Neodiprion lecontei: one gene and its partners. The protein of the gene in region 3 purifies or fractionates together with the protein of the main gene of each other region. This does not show direct contact. Links are inferred from orthologs where the notes say so. Each region holds a gene or a part of one and is shown on either strand. Other genes may lie near its edges.

Region 1 (6,889 bases), on a different chromosome or scaffold from region 3:
GTTTGTGACTTTTAAATATCAAACTTATAAAATAAACCAAGTTAGTCAAAATATCCAAATATTAAAGTCAGTTATTCCACTAAAACCTCTCACCAATCTACAAGTCATCGCATCCAGAATACTCTCAAAAAGGTAAGCCAAATTAAATCTTTTATCCAACAATTTCTCCCTCTTCGGTTCGTTCGACTAGAGCGACAGAATGCCCGTTGTCCGGTGTATTTCAATACTTAATCGGTAATTGGTGACCCAAACTACTGATGTGAGTCTGGCTGTAGCTGCGTGTGAATGTTTCCGGTGTCTAACATCTGGAGATTTCCACTAGGTACCGTTCCGACGTCACAAGTGTGCGTCAGCCGTCCCATGGTCCAGAATTTGTTCCGTCTCACGAACTCGGAATCCAGTGACTTTTCAAGCCCCAATCAGAAGTGTTCCGGACATTCCGTTCCGTGTGCATTACCAGTATTTGCGAACTGTCAAACAAATCTCTGTATCTGTGTGTGTGTGGGTGCGTAACATAAGAAAAAACTGAATTCGTCAGGTCCTGTAAGTATAAAATTCTTCAGAATACGAAATTCATTTATTTAATTGTTCGTTGTAGTTGTTGAAGTGGAAATAATTAAAACTTGCGTCACGTTTGACCTAATATCACCCAATTTCTAACCTATAATTCGAGAATATTCATATCATAACCTCTTATTTGCAGCCTAACGTAAGCATGTAACGTAAGCATGTAAACAATACATATGCTTGTGTGAGTAATACGATTCCGTCTCTGTCAGCATCGGGTGTCCCATGACACGGAATGCACAGGCCCGGAAGTGCCGACACCCAATCACAGTAGTGCATTTCAAATTCAGCGCTAAAAGGAACAATCGCAATTTGCCGGCGATCGTTCCGTGTGTGTCATTTCCGTATCATGGGACAGTAGGAAAAATGCATCCCGTAAATCAGTGGAGCCGGAACGCCTCCGATTGGGGCTTGAAAAGTCACTGGGTTCAGGGTTCGTGGAGACGGAACAAATTCCGGACCATGGGACGGCAGCCTTATACCCGTATTCATAGTCGCTCCTTATCTCAAGGGTAAAGGACGCCTTGATGAAGGCTTCCTTGAATCTCAGAGGCATCCTCGTTTCATAGTCACAACTTGGCTCTCCCTTCCAGGAGGGAAGACATATTTAGGGATATGTGATTGCTTATGGTGGTAAAACTGCTGATCGAAGCGTCACTCGGTTATATTTAAATCTAACTTAAACCGCTTGGCTCTCATTGTCAACTTGCGTCGGTTGATGAGAGTGTATAACTTCAAAGAGGTTAACTTGTAGACTAGCTGTGATCTCTGCGTCATACGGGTCATAAGTGCATAGTCGCCAAGCGCAAGCGCAAGCGTTGGCTACATAAAACGAAACTGCCAATCGCAGTGCCGAAGCTTTCCTCAAGGAAGCTCGAGATCTGCTTTGAAAGAAGGAGGCCAATAAGGCTCCTTGTGCTGTCAAGGAAGGACTATGAATACGGGTGTAACTCACTTCAATTTCACCTTCTCACATCAAATTTTGTGTCAAGTCAGCTCGCGCGAGGAAACTCGCACTTTCAGGAGGTGAGATTGACCGAAATAGGGTGAGCCGCTCACATTCGTCATTTTCACCCAATCCAAAAACCGTAATAAGCCCCCAGAACTTCGATTCCACCGTTTTTGGTGCTATCTTAGTCTCACACCCGCAGTTGATATACTGCCATCTCTTTCTAGCGATCTCGGGATTTGGGTGTATTCCAAAATGTACTTCCAGTACTGCCGACCGTGACGTCACGCAGTCAACTGCGAACTGCGTTCCGTTTTTACTTCGAGTTGCCAGTTGCAGAAAAAGCGGAACGCTACACCGAGGACGCGGCCATCTCTCAAGTACTGCAACTGCCTCACGTCCCAGACCGTAGTAGTCACAGTCAATACGTCACAAATTTCAGACGTCACAGACTGGCGGCAGGAAGCTGTCGCGCGGTTTCGGAACGCGGTTGCTAGTACTTGCAGTACTGCGAGTATATTTCGGAATACACCCATAGTATAAACATGGCTGGTTTTAGTACAAATCTAACCTCTGCGGTCTAAGCAGTTTTTGTCACGGTCAAGACTCTTATCAAGTGTTTTCTGTGTGGAATGTATTTTTCATTTTACCCTGCCTTACTTTTCGGTTACTCACGTGCGGGCTGAATGATACAACAACGTCGTCCGTATCTTGTTCTCTTTGGGGTTCAACGAGTAATTCTTTGCAGTTTTCAAATTGACTTTTTGCTACTTCTTGACATTCCAGTTGCACAACTTATTACAATGGCTTATCTAACCCGCAAAGAGATAGATGATATGAAGCCTCAAATAGAGAAGGCAGTACATAAGTTTCTGGGTTTTGGAGAGCCGTCAATTGTTACTACCGCTATAAACTGCATCACTTCGGGCTACGACAAGCGTAAAACTGCTGGTAAGTTTCTCTATATCACCGACATTCGAACTGATCTACAACTATAACCATTGAACTGTGTCGCTCATTCATTTATCCTTTTCACTCAGTGATTTCAAGTTTTCAATGAAACGCTACTACCTAGCGTTTAGTCAATTTACTAGAGATAAGTATTCATCTTCTGATGGCATGTCAAAACATTTTTTTACAACTTGTATATGTGGTATGTGACAATTTATGTTTTAGACAAACTTTCGGCACTCTTGGAAGAAAAGAAGGCTACCAAGTTGATGGAAAAAATATTTTCAATATACGATGACACCAAAGCTAACCAAAAGAGTAAGAAACGTCCTCATACCGATGACAAGGATAAGGACAGAGATGCAAAGAAACCGAAAACAAAAGAAGACGATTTCATGAACGAAAAACCTACAGAAGCACAATTGTCTGCTGACAAGGTACATTTAAGTTTATAAATCCACTGTCTAGTACCCGAACTGAGGGCAAAAATGCTTTGTATCACAAAAATTGTTTCGATCAACTAAATGCGGCATTCACGGACGGCGATACGAATATTTGGTTACAACAATTTATAAGCTGCTCAAACTAAATAAAAATTACTTCTGTTGACTTTATTATTACTTAACACAAGTAAGAGGATGTACAGTCAACGGAATATTAAGTTGAACGATCTCTATTCTATAGTTGATATAAAAATCATTTTGTTAATCTGAATATCCTACTTCTTGATCCAACAAATGTTTGATGAATGCAAGATCATGTTCTGTTTGTTTCAAAAAATTGTAGTCGTCGGAACTGAATATTCGGTTGGAAAAATCACAGCTAGGTACAAGCAACTGAACATTCAGTTCAGTATAGTGTTTCAATCATCTATTGAAACAACTTACTTGTTAACTTGAGTCTCATATCATTCAGATAAAAAAATGCTCAGGTTATAAAGTAAGGTTATGTTTTATTAGAATTACTGTATATTTCGTTTGACGAGACTGAATCATGGAATGAAAGGATGTCCTGCAGTCATTTGAAAAGGTTCTGATCAAAAATGAAAATAAAATTTTTAGCCTAATTACGACAGTTGGTGGATTTTTCAGTATTGCAAATAACTTATAATTGATTGCAAGTTGGATAAATCACATTTTTAGTTTCTGATTAAAGGCTGCATGATTTTGATCAGGATTCGAATCGGGGATTGCTCACTAATACTTATCATACCACCTAATCGTACATCTGTTGCCACTATGCCAAACTATCGCATAGATTTCGGGTTAACTTTGGCTCACTTAAATGACGAAATACACTTATCTCAGTGATATGAAGCTATTGCCAGCAGACATGAAAAGATTATGTACAAAATGCAAGGATTTCATCAATATTTCAACAATTTAACTGCACTGAAAAAGCCGACGACATAGTACAGTTGAATAATGAAATGCTCGACATGAATATTTTATTCATGTCATTAATTCAACACACAGAAAACATCGATTTCATTACCTTTATGTTTTCCCAGCTGCCACGAACGTTAGAGTTTCGTGGTTTTTTTTTCAACCAACAAAATATTTGAAAGTAGGTAAATTTATTAGCCTATTTGTGTTTGTAGATAAATTTATTTTACCATATGTATGGAAACCATTTTCTTATTGTTTCGACTGATACATTCGTTTAAATCAGCAAAAGTATTTGCAGTTAGTCGCATTATCGCTGACTTGGATCAACGAAAAAAATGGTACCCACGAAATGTAGATTCGCTTACGCTAAGGAATTTAATTTTTTTTCATCCAATTAAATCGATTCAGTTGATTTACTGACTTTTCTTATCACCATTCGATTAACATTCATCAATGCTTGGTTAAGAATTTCATCTCCTCATTTTCCTCCTCTGCTACATTTTTTTTTATAGATAAAACAAATGATGATGAATGCTCAAAGAGAGATCGAGGAGCGCAAACGGGCGTTAAAGGCGATACGGCAAGATGATATGCCGCCAGTCAGACCCTTGTTCCGAGCTCGCGAATCCATGCCGTCCGTAGGGAGTATGTACAATCAGGGACTGTTGAGTAAAAATGATTCTGACAAAGCTCGGAAGATTGCTGCACTTCAGGCTCAAATTAGGAATAAACTCAGTTCGGGATTATTGGGAAGCCTGCCAGTCCCTGATAAGCCAACACCCTTGATATTGGATGAATCTGGAAGAACAGTCGATATTACAGGAAAAGAAGTTCAACTCACCCAGGTAGTTCCTACGCTGAAAGCCAATATTCGAGCAAAGAAACGGGAAGAATTCAAAGCCCAGCTGCAGGATTCTAAGGGGCCAGAGGAGATGCAGGATACGCATTTTTTTGATAGTCGGATCGGTGCAAAGCCAGCCCAAAGAAACAAGAGAGCCTTAAAATTTCACGAGCCTGGGAAGTTTCAACAGTTGGCAGATAGAATACGTATGAAAGCCCAATTGGAAAAATTACAAAACGAAATATCACAAATTGCCAGAAAAACCGGTATCAGTTCGGCAACAAAATTGGCACTGATTGCCCCCAAGACCGAGGCCATGAACGAAGATGTGCCCAATGTTGAATGGTGGGATTCGGTTATTATTACTGGATGTTACACAGATGACGAAGAACAAATGCCAATCAAGTTTTCTGCCATTACAAACTTGGTTGAACATCCTACGCAAATGCGGCCTCCAAGTAAGTTATGAAACTCTGGACGATCAGATTGTTTGTAATAGTACTTTTAGCTGCTTTCCGGTTGCATTATGAAAATTGAAATCCTCAAAGGAAGAGTGTTATAGCTCACAGTACCTTGAATAAATATCTTCAGAGAAATTCAAATCCTTGCCCTATTTATCAATAACCATATTTATTACATATGTGTGTAACTGCAGAGTTTTCATTTGCTCAAGAATTACCTGCTTGTATAATAATATGACCCCAACTTTCATTGTCTTCGATCTATTTTTCGTTTGCTTACAGCTGATCCTCTCAAGCCAATCTACATGCCAGTATTTCTGACAAAGAAGGAGCGTAAAAAATTACGTCGGCAGAACCGACGAGAAGCATGGAAAGAGGAACAAGAGAAGATCCGCCTGGGTTTGGAACCACCGCCTGAGCCAAAGCTGAGGATCTCTAATTTAATGCGTGTCTTGGGTACAGAAGCTGTACAGGATCCCACAAAAATTGAGGCTCACGTACGCCAACAGATGGCAAAGAGATTAAAGGCTCATGAGGATGCAAACGCGGCGCGTCGACTTACTGCGGAACAACGACGCGAGAAAAAAGCTCGTAAGCTGAAAGAGGATACCACCCTTGGAGTACACGTAGCAGTTTACAGGTAATCCATTGATATATACCCTGCACATGGGGATGGCCACGTTCATAGAACTATATTCAAATGAATTATTTCAGGATACGAGATCTAGTTAATAATGCATCGAAAAAGTTCAAAGTGGAAACAAATGCCAAACAATTATACTTGACCGGGTGTGTGATGTTGTTTCGCGACTGCAATGTAGTCGTAGTTGAGGGTGGAGCTAAACAACTGAGCAAGTATAAACGTTTGATGGTACGGCGAATAAAATGGGAAGAGGATATCGTCAAGGATAATGATGGAAACGAGGTGCCTAATAGATGTGTTTTGGTTTGGGAGGGTACAAGCAAACAGCGACACTTTGGCGAGGTAAAATTCAAGGTGTGCCCAATCGAAAAAATGGCAAGGGAACACTTCAAAAAACATCAAGTTGAGCACTATTGGGATCTAGCATATAGTGGTGCGGTATTAGACAATACAGATGATGCACGTACCTAAAACCTAGTGTGGTAATGAAACAATATTACAAACAATGAATCGTAGAATTCTTGGTGAGAAATAAATGATAAATAATCAATTTCAGATATTTTTACATATTTCGTGTAAAGTTGGAGTTTGTTAAACTAATTCAATTACTGAAAGGAGATGTGCTTCTGTTCATAATTATGTACCTAAGGATCACTTGTTAAACATCTGCTTTCGTCGCTTGGATTGACTGTCAGTACCAGGTCCCTGGCGCTCTTATTCATTTCATATAGGGAACTGTCTGCGCTTATGATCACCATATACATATAGTTCGTACTGCATGGCGCTGGCATATTTCGGTGTTCCCCCCTCTTGCGCCCTAACACTCCTTGCCGGCGCAAGCTAGCCGTAGTGGCAGCTGGTAGCAGCTGATGGCAGCGAGACGCCGCAGAATACTGCCAGCGCCACGGAGCGGCTGGTGATATTCGGGGGACAGGAATGTGGCTTGAGTGCCAGGGGGCTGGTCAGTATATCTATAGTCTTGATGCCCCTGTAAGTATCTCAGTAGTCATGACATGGAAAAATAGTCCTGAAATGAGAGACGTAGTCAGAAGTTATCGGTTCCTTAGAGTCCCTTTAATTGATGTGCCT
Region 2 (3,540 bases), on a different chromosome or scaffold from region 3:
GAAGCAGCGATAGACGAAACAAGAGCATAACGTTTCTGATTCACATTAATGCGTCGGTGCCAGCGGCGCCATGGCTTGGTTGGCGCAAACATGCGACCTCCACGACACATGTTACCAAAAGCACCCTGACCGGAACGGTGTGTACCTCCTCCACGAACACGTGGGATACGTGCAACAGCACGACCGGTACCCCATGACTCGGCGGAAGTTTGATGTCCTGTGGTACAAGAACAATAATATATGGAATTTTTGGTGAAACGTGAATGCAGTTTAATGATAATAAAAATTCAATCACTTCCAATGGATAATATATGTGCAAAATAAAGATCTTTCGATATCTCGACATTTTTTTTCAAATGTATAATTGGTTGAACAACTCACCAGCCTCTTTAGATACACAATACGGCTGACGACTGTTTTTTGACATCTGCTGGTGTACAAAGTTCACCACATCGGGACGGATGGGTGCTTTGAACACTGAAGGAAGAGAGATCGTCTCTCCGCTAGGTTCATTTTTCTCACTATACACAGTAATAAGGGGACGCGCTGATGATAACGACTGAAATATAGAAAAGAACACATGTTTCAGATTACACATGATTTTAGCTCTATGTTAAATGTTAATAATCCTCTAAGTGACTATTATCAAAAAGTAACAAAGCCACCAGCTACCAAGTCTCAGAGATATTTAAGTGACTGAAATGTTAATTTCATGTTAGGTGAGCAAACAAGATGAATTGAACAGCATTGAATTTATGTACATTATCCGATACCTCTTCAACAAAATCGGCATTATAATCATCGATGAGTTGACACAGGGTTTACACTCAAATGTAACAACAACGTACTGCAGTATTGAGAAATATATGAAGACGTTAGACGCAGGTTGACTTCACTCATTGTAAGCAAAATTGATGGATTTGATAGGAAGTACGAAAACCCGATAATGAGATAAGAGAATCTGCGTATTCGGATTTCGATCTATTTCCGTAGTTAGGTGATTTTAATAACTCAGAGAGTGAACCGCGACGCCGTGGGCGATTGGAGTTATAAGAATGCGACATGTCGGGTGAATTATCCGGTGAAATCTAATGACATGCACATGGCGGCGATGGCGGCGGCGGTGAACGAGGGGGAAGTTTCTAACCTAAGAGAAGATGCTCTAATAGTACGAATTCGAGACATAATAACGAATATTTGGGTAGCACTGCACACTCTGTTAAAATCGGACGACGCTTGATGCGTAACGATGAAATTAGCCGCAACATCGAAGGGATTCTACACGTGGTCGACACACACGGCACTACATTACGACTGATATCTTTGATTTCCCTTGCAAATAAGGATGTGATTGAAACTGGTAATCAACTAGCAGGAACCGTACGCGAAATATAATTTAGATTTTGAGTTTCTTACCATCTTGACGAGTTTACAACTTTCAATTCATTAGCAAAACACCAACCAGGCTGCTCGCACGCCTCGCCTGGTCCTAAAGGAAGAAGAAGGAGGGCGGAAGCTGATGAACTCCATGCTAGGCATGCGCCAAAGTTCGACTCGCAATGTTGACTACCCCGCGATTATTCAAATTCAGAGTAAAGTCGCACGGAAAGAGGAAATAAAAAAAATTGGGATTGCATAACGATTTCGTCTAGTTAGTGCGATCCTCGGCGAATAATTTTGTACTCAGAATTTGTAGATATTACAATAAACAACCGATTTGGTCGAGTCTCGTGTTGGAAACGCAGCGATTCACTGGGCACGGGGTTCGCACGAGTCTCGAAACGGATTCCGGCCAATGAACGTCAACACGTCACTGACATTTGTTTAGTTCGATCGCGTTTGATTTCGGTTAGCCTAAAAAATACGCAAGTATAGTGACGGTAGGAATAATGGCAGGCGAGGTAGTTGTGGACGCTTTGCCGTATATAGATCAAGGATATGACGAACCCGGAGTTAGAGAAGCGGTGAGAGATGATATTCCTGACCGTATAATCGTGTGAATCATTTGTTTATGTAATTTTCACTTTTGAGGTTACGTTTCAACGTTGTATTTCAGGCTTTGGCGATGGTCGAGGAAGAAACTCGCCGTTACAGACCGACAAAAAATTACTTGGAACACCTGCCGCCTCTCAATCTGAATGCCTTTGAAACAACTGTGATCAAACACGAATTTGAGAGGCTCCAATCTCGCCTTCCAATGGAAGTACTTAGCATGAAGCGGTACGAACTCCCACCACCACCTCCTGGAAAAATGAATGATATAGCTGCTTGGAACGAGAGTGTGGAAAATAGCATGGCTCAGCTCGAACATCAGGCTACACGGTGAATTATTTACTTACACGCAATTGGGAAGACTTGAAATAAACCCTTGTATCGTAGTTGTTCATCACTGAAATATTTCAGACATCATTGCACATTCCATTATTGCAAAATAAAAATAAACATTTCTTACTTTTATAGAATCTGTAATTTGGAGCTGATGATGGATTACGGCTGTGAGGCCTGGAAGTGTTACTTGGAAGTTCTGATGCAGCTGGTTTCGCAGGCGCAGAAACAGCTTCAGGGCTTGAGAAAAACGATCCAGGAAGTAAATTGGCAGAGGAAATCGATGCAAACCCAAGGTGGCGAGAAGTTGAGAGCTTTGGAGGCTCAATGGGTGGGATTGGTGTCTAAAAATTATGAAATTGAACAAGCCTGTGTTCACCTTGAGGAGGAGATACACCGGTATAAATATTTAAAACACACTGGTGGAGAGGCTGGCGATGTCCCCGGGGAAGAACAAGAACCAGATATTCCAGGAGACAACGCCACTGAGACAACGGCCATGGAACCTACACCAGAAGAACCTCGACCTGCGTGACAAAACGACAACTAATGATTGTGGTTAAAATGTAAAACAATTTGATGTGTAAGCAAGATGCTAATTGTAACTGACGAATTTTATAAATTTCGATTCTGATACATTCTAGTGATTGTGAATCAGAGTATTTATTATACGTAACTTTTTCAGAATAAAGGTATGATCGAATTTCAAAAATTTAGTTTACCCACATTCTATTAATATTTAATCCAGATGCTTCGTAAAATATTTCCCAGTAGATACGAGCACTAAACTTGTTAATGGAAATAAATTTCTTATGAAAAATGTTGCTATTGTGTTTGGACGATTTTGTACCGGAAGTTTTTAGATACATAGGACAGACTTATTATAAAGCACGTTTTATTTAACCGTAGTCTACATTTATCACGCTTCGAGTATGCCTACAATATACATATTTACAAATCAAAATGACTAACTAATATTTTGTAATTATTTAGTAATAGTGTATATGTATACATTTATATATACTATGTATATGAGAGAATGAGAAGTTGTTTCGTGATAAAAAACATTTTTTGATTTGCAACATAGTCACAATTATCCACAGATCTATCATATGTTTAAATTACGCAAGTATCTACGCAAGTACGCACAGTATGCAATTTTGTATTTTATTATCGACAACGATAATTAGTCGTCATAATTAACTAATAAATACG
Region 3 (7,941 bases):
TCTCGAACTGGAAGTAAGCTACGCTAAATTGCATTGCGAAAAACAAATGATCCGACTGAAAGTCAAGCACGTTGCGATCGTGAATGAGCCTAACCATGCAGCTAAGAAATCGAAGATTTGTGTAACAATTGTTACCGCCACGCCACGTGACAGAGGAATCCCAGGGAAATACCCATAACCTAACACATGCAAACTCACCAGCGTTGCCGAGAAATGGAGAAGTTACTCGGAAGTCTTTGCTTAAATCTGTGAAAAACAAAGCAAGACTTGAATTAATTTAGTAAATTGGCTTTTCAGTTTTCAAATCAATTATCACTGTTGTCGAGATTTATATCTATGCATTGCATGTTACGCAAGAACAAAAGTTGGGTATTAAATGTGCGACCTTGAATTATCAATCAATAATTAAAATAAGTATTGTTACCTCTTATCTGGGTTGCTCCGCAATTTAACGTAGTAGTTCTTGTAGCATCTCAAGTTTATTGGTCAAGCGACGCACTTTTCACATAATTCACATCTTCGCTAATCTCTTATAATCCAAAAATCCGCACCGCAATAACACTAGCACTCGATTCTACATTCACTTTTTGTGCTGTAGCTATCCATTTGAACCGACTGAATAAACTGGCTGACAATGCAACTGTGCATTCGCCGAAAATCAGCTAAAAAAAAAAAAATTGACACTGGACGTACAGAGGCAAAAATACACATCACTGAAATCTGAAGGTACACAAAACAATGAAACCGCGAAACACGAAATTCACCTTCAACGTCCGCAGAATGTTTTTACGTCAGTGACTCGGTTTTTCTTCAGGCTACACGCGGCTCGTCTGTATTATTCACAGATGAGTATGGTGGAAATACGCTTATCGAACAACGTGACACAATCTGAAGAACGTGGTCTGAGCGTGGAACCGATGCCGAAGACCAATAATTTCACTCTGATTTCTCGGAAACGACTGATGTCGCACGGCGCTCGCGCTCTCTCTACCCTCCTCCCGTGGAGTGGGGGTAGCTGCACGCACCGGCCTGCCTGCCCCCCCTCCCCCTCGTATTATGGGTGCAGCGACAGAGAAAGCTGGAGAATTATTATCTTCTGTCCTTTAGAGAAGCGATTCAAATCCGTTCACAAGACGCTTACGCCGTTGCTTACGCTCTATTTCATACATCATAGAGATCAGTGTATACGTCTCTATGGTCTCAATATATTACGCATTACACGTACTCGTATGTAGAATACCAAGAGACGTAGATTACAGAAACCAACTGCAAATCTGTTCAGCATTACAGTTTGAAAGTACAGTAGAACGTCTGATCTGCAATTTGTTGTATCAGTTACGTATTACGCGTAATTCAATCAAATACGCCCCTATGCATGCCGATTCTATAGGAATGGCGTAACTTCTGTTAAATTACTAGAGAATATAATTAGAATAGGCAAGTTATGCTCTACCTATATGCTGATAACCTTATGAAGTATTGAAGACGATTTATCTTGACCTTGATGACTTGTTGATTAATGTTATTCTTGGATATGAAGGTCACAACTCAAAACCCTTTTTTATAGTGTTAACGTTTCAGCTTATGAAGTATTATATAATTATAGGTTATAATAGTCATAGTTATTTACAGCACTTAAATAATAATATTGTAGTTCTGGGTAGCGTGAGGATGCCATAATATGGCTTTACACTCGGATTAATGATTCTCGTTGTTATCTCACATCTAAGGATATTTTCAGTAGTTAGGCGGTTCTTTGAATGATCTGCTTACAAAATTCTTACACTTAATTAAAGTTGGGTTTGTTGGGAGCATGAAGGAAAGCGACCGACTAGCATTTCGATTGGATGTTATACCTAAAACTCCCCGGGACTTTAGTAACACAAAATTATATTCGAGTGGTTACACCTCGGTGAAACACATTCAATGGTTGAGGGTCGTGGGCACTAGACTCTATACAGATTTGATTTCGTTTGTGATTTTGGTTTCTGGGACTTACGTGCAGGTGTTCACGTATATTTTCACTTTATAAAGATTCAGTACAGCTAACAATAAGAACAAAACTGAAGAGGACTTGGGGGACTCTGTTTACTGCTGATCGTTGTATTCATATGTCGTAAATATGGCACTGTCTTGTGCAAGTACGTATTTGTTTATTTCTCGACGATTATAAATTATTTCCGTCCAATAGGCAATCTGTAGCAATGGCCCGGCTTCAGCCTTATTTCTTGAATTTATTTCACCCTCCATTCTTTCAAATTAAACGTAACTGTTTTATACCGGCTCATGAACCCTAACCTGAAAGTTCGCGCGTTTCTTCAACATTATACCGAACTCAAAACCATTAATTTATTTCCAGTTTCCAACGAGGTCCCAGAGCACCCGGTAATCTCTCCGGTTTCCGGTTCTATTTTCGAAAAACGGCTTATCGAAAAGTATGTTGCGGAAAATGGAGTGGATCCTATAAATGGAAAAGATCTTGCAGTTGAGCAGCTGATTGATGTAAAGGGTAAGATCATGACTGCAAAGAAAATGCAGAGTAATAATCATGTCGGCATCATTTTGAAAAATGTTTATTCTGCAAGGTGTATTAATTCTAAATTTTCTGTTCAGCTACGCCTCTTGTAAAGCCAAAACCACCGAGCGCAACATCTATTCCTGCAATTCTAAAGATTCTACAAGATGAGTGGGATGCAGTAATGTTACATTCGTTTACTCAGAGACAACAGCTTCAGACAGCCAGACAGGAGTTGTCTCATGCTTTATACCAGCACGATGCAGCCTGCCGAGTTATTGCTAGATTGACCAAGGAAGTTACTGCAGCCAGAGAAGCACTGGCCACTCTTAAGCCACAAGCAGGCATTACTCAAGCAACTGTTATTCCACAACCGGTAAAACGTTTTGCTGTTGTCTGTTGCTTTCGTCCTTATTTCTATTTGTCGTTAACAAAGTTCTGGCATATTTTAATCCTACATAGCTCAGATTTCATTATGATTTATAAAATTCATGATAAAAGTTGTAAAAAAAGTTGTACAAATTGGTTTGCAATTAACCCAATGAGATTCTGCGTACAGAAATTCTCAGCATGGATAACATATCTGTGTATCTGTCTCTGCCTAGTTTTACTTGATATCTGTATCGAGAGGGTTTACCCAGGATAAGGCTGAAGTTGGTAACATTCGCGTAATGCCAGACAGTTATTATTGTTATATGGTAAAATAGCAAGTTTAAAAAAAATTGCATCATTACAATAACCTTATGAACTTCGACCTTATCCATCAGTTTACATATAAGTTCCATTACTCATCATGCTTACTGTGTCGCATATAGTCTGTTGCAGTGGAAGCTGGTGGTGCGGCAGCTCAACCAACTGAACAAGCTGGCATCACTGAGGATGTTATTCAAAAATTACAAGAACGAGCTACTGTTTTAACTCAAGAACGAAAAAGACGTGGACGTTCTATACCGGAAGATCTCTTACCACAAGAAAGCATCAGGGCATTCCAGACACTTGCTTCACACCCGGTTAGAAGTCCCATTAATTTTAATTTTGAGCAGAAATGTAATTTGTAACAAAATATAATTACGGAAAATGTTTTCACTGACAGGGATTGCATTCCGCAAGTGTACCAGGAATTCTGGCACTTGATATACATGGGGCAGATACCAGCAAAATTCTAACTGGAGGCGCAGACAAAAATGCAACAGTTTTTAATAAGGACACTGAACAAGTAGTTGCTATTCTTAAAGGACACACCAAAAAGGTAAGTAACACCAGAAATAAGCAGTGCTTTTCAAAACTAATCTCGCAGTGTAATATGAATTATTATGTAAGGTCGAAAATTTGTCTACTACTATTCACGATCACAATTTCGTACCTTTTGTATGGGAAGAAACTCGACATCTTTAAGTGACTTTTACTCTATAGATCACATGGAAGTTAGTTTGAGTTTTGATTTTTTTGTTTTTGAGATACTTGCAAAGGAAGTACGTTCACTCAAAATTACCAATTTAGCTGAAGTTTGGCACGAATGTAATACTTTGAGAAGAAAAACAAATGGCGATTGGAAAGCATGCACTTCTTGGCCATTTAGGAGAAGTTTGGTATTGAATTTGAACCTGTTTTTCTATCTGCGAATTAAATTAGTTGATGTATCAAAGCTATTAGTCAATAATGTAAATTTAGTTACTTATATTTCTGAAACCATGAAGAGAGTTAATATTTTATGAGAAAGCATTTCAAACTTACCAAAACTTTAATACAATACACCAAAGGCCGCTTAAGTATTAATTCTTACAAAGGTGACACTCTTAGTCTTCCGTCACTTATTTATGAGCAAAAGCGTGTAGCCAGCTGTACCATACTATACAACCTGTGAACACAGTTTCCCTTAATATTAGCGTAATTATGAAGTAGAGAGGAAAGATCATGAACTTGTGTGGTGGAGAATCTCAAACATAACAAGGATTGACTGCGGACATTGTAGTATTCGACTTATTGATAGCATTTATTTCATCGTGGAATACAACAATAGTCCATTACACCTTTAGGTTGTCATTACTATTTTGTCCTCTGCGTCCGACCTAAATGCCCTGCAGCAAAACAACTCATACAAAACTATCCTGTCATGAATCACCCGAACGGAAGTATCCCAACAAAATTACCCATGTCAAAAATAATCTGCAACAAATACAACCCAGGCCAAAAATAATCAACCCAATGAAGAATAACCCAAAAATAAAATAACCTGTGACAAAAATAACCCAAGACAAATATAATCTAGGGCAAAAATAAGCCGATCAAGAAAAATATGTATTGTTTGTTATCTGTTTGAATATTTTGTTTAAAATAGACTAACGACAAACATTAAATTGAGTCGAATTCAATTAAATTCAATTAAATTCCAGATGTTATATTAACAATTTGTTTATGAGTTTCTATTCATGATTGTTGAATGTCATGTTCCTGCAGCGTGTAATTTTTTAGTGAGAGAAGAGAGTTTTCTTAACTAGAAACAATAAAAATGATGCTCATCATTTTAATAATCTCTGCATTAAGAATTCTACTAATATGTCTAATTTTCTATCACCTTTTGCAACGTGCAATTATTAAGTAACCGATTTCACACTATTCTTTCATTACAAAAATCGTCTTAATTGTATATTTATATTTGTGAAGTTAAATTATAGATCTTACCAGTTACGTTTTTTTGTTGAAAACCTACAAGTTTCCATGATTTACATTTCTTACGATTGTTAATATTTTTTATTAGGTAAAATCGGTGTCTGAAACGTAAAATCAGCATTTTTTGTCCTATATCTTCGGTTTAACATATGTAGCAAAAATCAATATTAATTGAAACTTGAAATGTATCAATTTAGAAAGTATAACATTTCAATAGCACTCAGCAGTTATGGTATTAAGCTTTTGATTTCAAGTATTTTGGAAAATTTTAAGGTCACACGAGTTATTTATCATCCGGAAGAAGATGTGGTTATGACAGCATCACCTGATACGACAATTCGTGTTTGGAATGTGGGAACAAGCCAAACGACACTTTTATTGAGGGCTCATGATGCACCTGTAACTGGCCTCTCACTTCACCCTACAGGAGATTATTTGTTGAGCTCATCTCTGGACCAGCACTGGGCTTTTTCGGACATACGTACTGGCAGACTACTGACAAAGGTCAATAAACGAAAATTCATTCGCTAGTTTCTTAGTTAACAATTTATGATTAATCCATTTTATGGAAAAATGACTTCTACCATCACTTCATTATGGTCCCTTCTCCATCATAGGTAGCTGGGCAATCTGGACAGCCTTTGACAACAGCCCAATTCCATCCAGATGGGCTTATCTTTGGTACAGGAACAGCTGATTCTCAAGTCAAGATTTGGGATTTGAAAGAGCAGTCAAACGTGGCTAATTTCCCCGGTCATTCAGGTCCAATTACCGCTATTAGCTTCTCAGAAAACGGATATTACTTAGCAACAGCCGCAGAAGACTCTTGTGTCAAACTATGGGATTTGCGAAAGCTTAAAAATTTCAAGACACTTCAATTAGATGACTCTTATGAAGTGAAAGATATTTGTTTTGATCAAAGTGGTACATACCTTGCTGTGGCTGGATCCGACATCAGGTGAGCTTGACTGCACACATCAAAAATGTATTTTTGAAAAACTTATTTGAGTATGTATGAATATTTACGATTTTGTTTCATTTTTCTAGAATTTATTTGTGTAAGCAATGGCAAGAATTAAAGGTACTCAACGATCATACGGCAACAGCTACAGGTGTTCGATTTGGGAAGCATGCACAGTATATCGCTTCTACCAGTATGGATCGAACATTAAAGCTCTATGGATTACCTTAAGCCTCAACAAGTACCTATTTAATAATGTGAAAATAAATTATATGATTTCAATTCAAAAAGGCAAAGTTGGTAACTATTTCTTTAGATGATATCAATTTTTACTGATATGATAAGTGTTCTTATATTTTTTGACCTATTCAATTGTCCATATTTCACCACGTATATTGTTGGTATTTACTGTCCGTATTACTGATGAAACAAGGGAAGGCAATGCGTAGTTATGAGCCTGATCACTTAAAGCAGATTCAAAATTATACGTAAGTTGCCTTTTGTGTAACATATTTGTCTTTAGCCATCTTTATATCAAATTACACTTAAAGTACTGCAAGGTGATAAGTTTTGCCTTCCCCATCCATCTAAGATTGAAGTTCATAATTTTTTCATATTTTACTGAATTAGTTATATCCATCCATTTGAACGAGTAAACACACTGTAACTCCAAACCCCGTTAAAATATCAACGATAGATGCTAATGTTTTGATTAAGGAGTCAAACTTTCATTCATGATTATTCATTTTCATTCATATGTCTTAAATGGCTGGCCCTTTTCAAAATGATTTATCAAAAAGTGTTTATTGTTTAAAAATCGCGTGAATTTAAACGAACAATCTTCATTTAGCTCCAACAGCCAGAATTATTTGGACAAAGTTCTGCAATTGAAATCAAAACTCACGTTCGAAATAAAGAGGTACTCCAACTTTAATTTTAATTGAATTTTGATGCCTGGATTGTGAATTTTTCTTAATTAGTATTTTTACAAAAGTTTAGCACTGGAAGTTGAGATTCATATCAAAATATCCATCAAACCTTGGGCCAGAAAATTACTATGAAATTTGAATAAAACTCTTGTACAATTATTTTGATACATCAACGATATAAATGTCTCGTATGAAAAAGGTCTTAAAGTATAAAGAAAAGCTTTCAAATCTTTTACATTTAATAGTATGTAATTGGTATTCTGAATCTGCATTTTCATGATGTGATCGATGTGGTCACTGACTTTTTTTCCATACTTATTATGATTTTGCAGACTCGCAACATTTTATAACATCAATAATTAATTTATAATTCATCTGTTCATGCAAATTCATGGAGAGGATATCGAAATAAAATTTATGTTGACTCCTGAAATTCTGATCAAAGGAAATATGCATCACCAATTGTGGATCATGTAGCCTATGTTTCAAATAGTTGTAATAAATATTTTATACAGCAACTCAATAACACTGTTTTCCGTGCATAATGATTCCTACTGTTTATAGACAGATTTGGGGACCGTCACAACAAAAATTTCTTCAAACTAAAATGACAACTCACCCTTGAATTTGAATTTTTTTAAGAGGATCCTATAATTAGTCTTTACCACCTGAGGAAAAAGGCCCTTAGTTTGTTCGTTATCCGGTCCTATGTATAGTTAAAGGGATGTCCTGGTCGATTTCGACGTTGACGTATATATCACCATGCATCGAAGTCCCCGTATCTTAAACGCAATAAAGGGCTTAACAGCCCCATTCTATGTGCAATTCTGAACAAAAACACTCGCATACATTTTCATCTGGCATAA
Region 4 (5,525 bases), on a different chromosome or scaffold from region 3:
GCTTGCAGAGGGTTCCTAAATTTTTGTAGATCTTTCTTCTTCCTATCCAATTTGATAAACAAGGATGCCACGATTACGTGCATTCATGTACGTACGATACACAATTCGTAGCTACACAAATACTGTTGTACTCTACCGGGCTTGAATTATAACTGGAAATGCGATCGCAGCGATCGCAGCGGACAAGACTAGATACGTGTGCGTTTATACTAGCTGCTAGTGGCAGCTTCGCTCACATACTGGCATGTATGCAACGGTAGTGTGGTCAGGAGTGAGATATATTTATATTTATGTTTATATATATATATATATATCCGTATAATATAATGTTTTTGTCGTTGTACATTTGGTTAGGCGAAACGTATGGAAGATGAAACAACCATACCGAATATATATGTATTTTTCTCTCTCTCTCTCTCTCTCTCTCATCACTACGGCTTTAGTTTTCGCAGTTTTCGCGAGGTTGACAGAATGAGTAACTGCCTCCAGTAGTATACGCTCTAAAGTTTATATAGATTTGAGATAGCATAGCCATATATCTTTATACATAAGCCATTTTATACAACATGCGCTTACCGGCCAAATACGTCACGAATCAGTTCTAAACCTCTATTTCGTGTCAAAGAGCGGTACTAAACCACGAACACGAAAACACGAGCGTGTAGGCTCGCTCTGGCTTCCCTCTAGTTACGGATTTCTATGTCATAGAGTGAGACCATACAGAGCGGGTGACTTTGGAAGGTATATTGAGGGAATCCACTGGTGTTCGGTGGGAACTCCCACGACTATAAGAGAGCTAGTCAAGTGTTAATATAAAGTGAAAGAGATCATGAGCATTCTCAGTTCTGATTTTGATACTTACAGATACGTGAAGATAATTGTTACGTTGTGCTGTCTGGTACAGAAGAAAAGTGTTATTTAATTAAAAAGCATTGATGTATTAACATTTGAAATCTGGTAGAACTCTTCAATATTGAGCTAGATCACGAGACTGGACAGCTTAGAGCCCCCATAAACACGGTCCAACATCAACGTGCTGTACTGTACGCGTAGGTACTCAATGATGCAGTGAGCTATACCATCCTAAGCACTGCTGAGTATTTTATCAACCGTAATAATTAATTTCACAGAAGCAAATGAAGATATCAATATTTGCCATCGTAGCCGTAACAATGATCCTTATTTCGGCTGAGGTAATTAATGTTGAAGCTGGACTGGTGGGTGTTGGACTTTGCTACGCCGGCTGCGCGACGCTCGCCGTCGCATGCTTTAGTGCAGCTGGTGCCATATTCGGCGTCGCAAAAATTGCCCAGATCAATGCATCACCAGCCCTAGGAAAATGCAATTCGGCATTCAGTTCTTGCGAATCTGCCTGTGTTGGAGCATTTGGTTGATCTAGACGTGTCATCTAGATGTATCGTAGTCCGAAGGTCGTTGCTGACCAAATCATGAATGAAAGCTGCAATAAAAACTCGTAAAATATCTCACTGTTGAATGTATTTCACCGTTGTTTGCCGCCTTATCGATATTCACTTTTCACGCTCGATACCATTCACCACTTGCCGTCCTGTTCCGTTCCAAGTTCCATTTGTCCCGTTGTAACCTAACCTGATTCAACCCAATTCAACCTAGCTGATAATAATGTATGCCTATGCATAAGTATGTATACACATGGTAATACGGAGAGTACCAATATAGACTCATTGTCAGTCACTGAAGAACATAGTCTTTAATCAACACATCAGGATTTATGTACTAGGGTTATACACAATTACCATGTATGGCTTTATTCTGTTATTGGTTAATTATCACGTTTACTTATTAACATAAAATTAAGTAGCTGTGATTTAAAAATATCGAGACAAACAGTTTTCGATATGGATATCGGTGAACTATTATCATACAAGGTAATTATTCAAGTATTTTTAAAGGTTACCAAAGTTAGGTGATGTTTAGTTTTCAATCTGAACAGTAAAGTTTCTTACGCTTATTGTATTACTTTCGTTACTATACTTAAGCTACTTATTAACGATATTCACACTACAAGTGTGTGTCAGTAACATAACCTGCCAATCTCTGAGACACTGGTGGTTATCGTCGTTAGATAAGGGTGCGCTCACTGCATTACTGTCATTAGCTGATAAACCTGCAAGTTATGATGATTTCTGTTGGAGTAGGTTGGGTTTTATGTAAGGAATTAACTTTTAGCCACCCAATACACCGAAACGACCAGTACATGGAGATGAAGAAGATGAGGATAACTGGGAAAATGCTAAACGATCAAAGCGTGTGATTAAAACGCCATATCATCCTCGTCAGCGACAGATTAATGAGGGTGATCTCACTCCAGCTGTTAGCAAAGAACCTCCTACACCAATCAGAGCTGCACTTCCAGCTCCAGCCAATGATGTTGTCGAACCTCAGTTGACAGAAAAAGAAAAACAAGAGATTATCAAGTATGTAGAGACGGAAGCAGCAGAGGTTGAAGCTTTAGATGAAGCCACGCTAAAGCGAATGATTCTGTTGTTTGAAAAACGAGCTCTTCGGAATCAAGAGATGCGGGTGAAATTTCCAGATCAACCAGAAAAGTGAGTTAGCATTTACCCAATTATTTGTGAAAACAAACTACCAAATGTCATTTTACCATTCTGTCTTTTCTAGGTTCATGGAATCTGAGTTGGAGCTACATGAAACATTGCAAGAACTAAATGTAGTAGCAACAGCCCCAGATCTCTACCCGATAATGGTAGAACTTGGTGCTGTGGCTTCCATGCTAGAGCTTCTGTCTCATGAAAATACAGACATTGCTGTTGGGGTGGCTGATCTGCTGCAAGAGCTTACAGATGTTGATATTTTGCATGAAAGCCAGGAGGGTGCAGATATCCTTATAGATTCGTTGCTGGAACAGCAAGTATGTGCCCTTTTAGTGCAAAATTTAGAAAGGCTTGATGAGAGTGTAAAGGAAGAAAGCGACGGAGTTCACAATACTTTGGGTAATATTCAATAAGACAGCAAGATGATTATTACAATATGGACGTATAAAGTTGATCTAAGTTCAATTAGGACATGAAATTATTAGGGATATTTATTTTTGATCTTAGTTGTCACCTTTACCTAAAGGGTTATTCCTTAATTTTTTTCAAGCCATATTCGAAAATCTGCTCGAGTTCAGACCAGACCTCTGCGTAGATGCAGGTAAACAAGGACTCCTCCAGTGGCTACTACGAAGAATCAAGGTGAAGGCTCCATTTGATGGAAATAAGCTATATGCCAGTGAACTGCTGTCCATACTTGTTCAACAAACACCTGAGAATAGGTTGCTGCTTGGGGATTTGGATGGAATAGATGCTCTTTTACAACAACTCGCTGTAAGGGTTTTGCTGTTTTCTAACTATATTGGAATTAATCTCGATGAAAGAATAACAGATGCAAACCCGTTCACTGTAATCCTTTAGTTCTACAAGCGTCACGATCCTCGAACAGCGGAAGAACAAGAAATGATGGAGAATCTTTTCAATGTTTTGTGCTCCAGTCTAATGGCAACGATAAATCGAGAACGCTTCCTCCGTGGCGAAGGACTCCAGCTCATGAATCTAATGTTACGTGAGAAGAAAATGTCTCGTAATGGATCTCTAAAGGTACCACGTATATTGAGAAATTTATGGAAAGTTGTCACAGCCATTGACGCAGATTTCCGGTTTCTAGACAGGGGTTTATATTACAGGTACTGGACCACGCTATGAATGGGCCAGATGGAAAGGACAATTGCATGAAATTCGTAGATATACTGGGATTAAGAACAATTTTTCCATTGTTCATGAAAACACCAACTAAGAATCGAAAGAAAATACTCACAACGGAAGAGCATGAAGGTAGTTACATCATTTTTATTTACTACTGTTCCCCTCCTGCTGAACTCACCATTCTGTCTTGTTCCCACCACCATGTATTTATTCAGAGCACGTCGTTTCCATTATCGCAAGTATGCTGAGGAATTGTAAAGGAGCACAGAGACAGCGTCTGATAAGCAAATTCACAGAAAACGATTTTGAAAAAGTCGACAGACTGATGGAGCTTCATTTTAAATACCTAGAAAAAGTAGAGGAGGTCGAAAGAGATACAAAGGCAAGTCGTAACTATAACTAGCTATTGTTCACTTTTGTAATAATCTATAAATTAATATCAAAACTGACATTACTTACCTTGATTATACTAATTTTTAATCACTACAAATTTGTGTATGTGTGGGATTTAATCAGTGGATATTTTCTATTCCTGATATTATTTAAAATTTCTAATTTACAGGATGACGAAGAAGAGGAAGAATCTTACATGAGGAGACTGGACGGAGGATTATTCATTCTCCAGTTAGTAGATTACGTTTTATTGGAAGCCTGTACTGGCTGTCCACCAACAGTGAAACAACGTGTAACGAGAATTCTCGCACAAAGACGAGCATCTCTCAAAACCATAAGGCACATTATGAGAGGTAGAATAGACAGCTCATATTGTGAATTCGCACTCCCAATACCCTTTTCTCTCTTTCTACAATATGAAGGAGACAACATAGAAATCGTTTCTTTTCTTAATTTCTACAGAATATGCGGGTAATCTTGGTGATGCTGGTGACAATGAGTGGAGAGAGGCGGAACAGCAACATATTTTGCAATTGATCGACAAGTTCTGATGTCTACCTGCCTCGCGATTTTCACCCTTTACATTCATCAGAGGATTCTCACACATTACCCAATCGTGTTCACACGTAATTAGAGATGTAGAAAAATCCACTGTACATCGGCTAAAATCGAAAAATTTACAGATTATTGCAATCACGTAGTATTAATCACATTTGCATTTAATTTACATCGTTAATAAGAATGAATTGTCAGTAAACGTGATGCGCTGTTTTTGTAGGTAGTTTTGTTGCGATTCTATCAGTGTAACTCCTACTGACCAGCTTATCTTGCATCTCAATGCCAATAAAATCGAAGTGAGTCATAATATGTCTACATACATAATCTTGCCATATATTATTCTTATAATTTTTACGTCATTTTCTGTTCCCTACAGTTCGTTACTTCATCATTAATCAGGATTAAAGAATGGTATGTATAACATACTTACATTTACAGCTTTGGTAGTTCTGTATTTTTCTCGAATAAGCCACAAAAATTGAAAAGAAGCGTCGCTTCATCAGTTGACAGTCATCTGTACTATGAGTTGTAGTCAACATTTGTTGTAATGCCTTTCTGCTTTGTTCTTCACTGTTGCTGCAACTTATATTTTTTAACATTTTGAATCATTATTTGTGAGAGGATGGATTTGGTTCGATGATGAAAGAATGACAAGGCTTCTATACAATTTAATTATAATTGTCTTCAGACGGTCTGCAATTTGCTACTGCAAATCTACCGAGTGAAAAAAAAGTCGAAAATTTTCGTTAATCATATCAGACCATTTTTTAAAGTTTTAAACGAATATGATTTTATTTACATTTGAGCGGAGTACACAGTAGGTGCTATGCA

The links.
Region 1: the proteins of pre-mRNA-processing factor 19 (region 3) and U4/U6 small nuclear ribonucleoprotein Prp3 fractionate together in Homo sapiens (co-fractionation; 3 studies listed by BioGRID, with this or other methods). This does not show direct contact. The link is inferred for Neodiprion lecontei from reciprocal best matches to the Homo sapiens genes PRPF19 and PRPF3.
Region 2: the proteins of pre-mRNA-processing factor 19 (region 3) and pre-mRNA-splicing factor SPF27 purify together in Homo sapiens (co-immunoprecipitation; 10 studies listed by BioGRID and IntAct, counting the BioPlex papers as one, with this or other methods). This does not show direct contact. The link is inferred for Neodiprion lecontei from reciprocal best matches to the Homo sapiens genes PRPF19 and BCAS2.
Region 4: the proteins of pre-mRNA-processing factor 19 (region 3) and beta-catenin-like protein 1 purify together in Homo sapiens (affinity purification with mass spectrometry; 4 studies listed by BioGRID and IntAct, counting the BioPlex papers as one, with this or other methods). This does not show direct contact. The link is inferred for Neodiprion lecontei from reciprocal best matches to the Homo sapiens genes PRPF19 and CTNNBL1.

What each region holds. Positions count from the first base shown.
Region 1 is NC_060265.1:31,664,847-31,671,735, forward strand, and holds U4/U6 small nuclear ribonucleoprotein Prp3, read left to right. Parts: upstream 1-2,000; 5' UTR 2,001-2,202; coding exon 2,203-2,467; intron 2,468-2,692; coding exon 2,693-2,904; intron 2,905-4,367; coding exon 4,368-5,154; intron 5,155-5,439; coding exon 5,440-5,797; intron 5,798-5,871; coding exon 5,872-6,271; 3' UTR 6,272-6,355; downstream 6,356-6,889. UniProt on the Homo sapiens protein: Plays a role in pre-mRNA splicing as component of the U4/U6-U5 tri-snRNP complex that is involved in spliceosome assembly, and as component of the precatalytic spliceosome (spliceosome B complex).
Region 2 is NC_060265.1:27,625,252-27,628,791, reverse strand, and holds pre-mRNA-splicing factor SPF27, read left to right. Parts: upstream 1-1,789; 5' UTR 1,790-1,889; coding exon 1,890-1,964; intron 1,965-2,056; coding exon 2,057-2,322; intron 2,323-2,460; coding exon 2,461-2,860; 3' UTR 2,861-3,037; downstream 3,038-3,540. Other genes in the region: 60S ribosomal protein L4, read right to left, coding at 1-217, 382-559, 1,417-1,419. UniProt on the Homo sapiens protein: Required for pre-mRNA splicing as component of the activated spliceosome. Component of the PRP19-CDC5L complex that forms an integral part of the spliceosome and is required for activating pre-mRNA splicing.
Region 3 is NC_060262.1:22,972,710-22,980,650, forward strand, and holds the start of pre-mRNA-processing factor 19, read left to right. Parts: upstream 1-1,935; 5' UTR 1,936-2,122; coding exon 2,123-2,141; intron 2,142-2,359; coding exon 2,360-2,509; intron 2,510-2,613; coding exon 2,614-2,891; intron 2,892-3,330; coding exon 3,331-3,525; intron 3,526-3,608; coding exon 3,609-3,764; intron 3,765-5,458; coding exon 5,459-5,689; intron 5,690-5,802; coding exon 5,803-6,143; intron 6,144-6,232; coding exon 6,233-6,377; 3' UTR 6,378-7,941. UniProt on the Homo sapiens protein: Ubiquitin-protein ligase which is a core component of several complexes mainly involved pre-mRNA splicing and DNA repair. Required for pre-mRNA splicing as component of the spliceosome.
Region 4 is NC_060261.1:30,287,674-30,293,198, reverse strand, and holds beta-catenin-like protein 1, read left to right. Parts: upstream 1-1,641; 5' UTR 1,642-1,877; coding exon 1,878-1,907; intron 1,908-2,208; coding exon 2,209-2,588; intron 2,589-2,661; coding exon 2,662-2,993; intron 2,994-3,144; coding exon 3,145-3,368; intron 3,369-3,455; coding exon 3,456-3,638; intron 3,639-3,724; coding exon 3,725-3,872; intron 3,873-3,958; coding exon 3,959-4,125; intron 4,126-4,305; coding exon 4,306-4,489; exon of another isoform or gene 4,490-4,598; coding exon 4,599-4,687; 3' UTR 4,688-5,001; downstream 5,002-5,525. UniProt on the Homo sapiens protein: Component of the PRP19-CDC5L complex that forms an integral part of the spliceosome and is required for activating pre-mRNA splicing.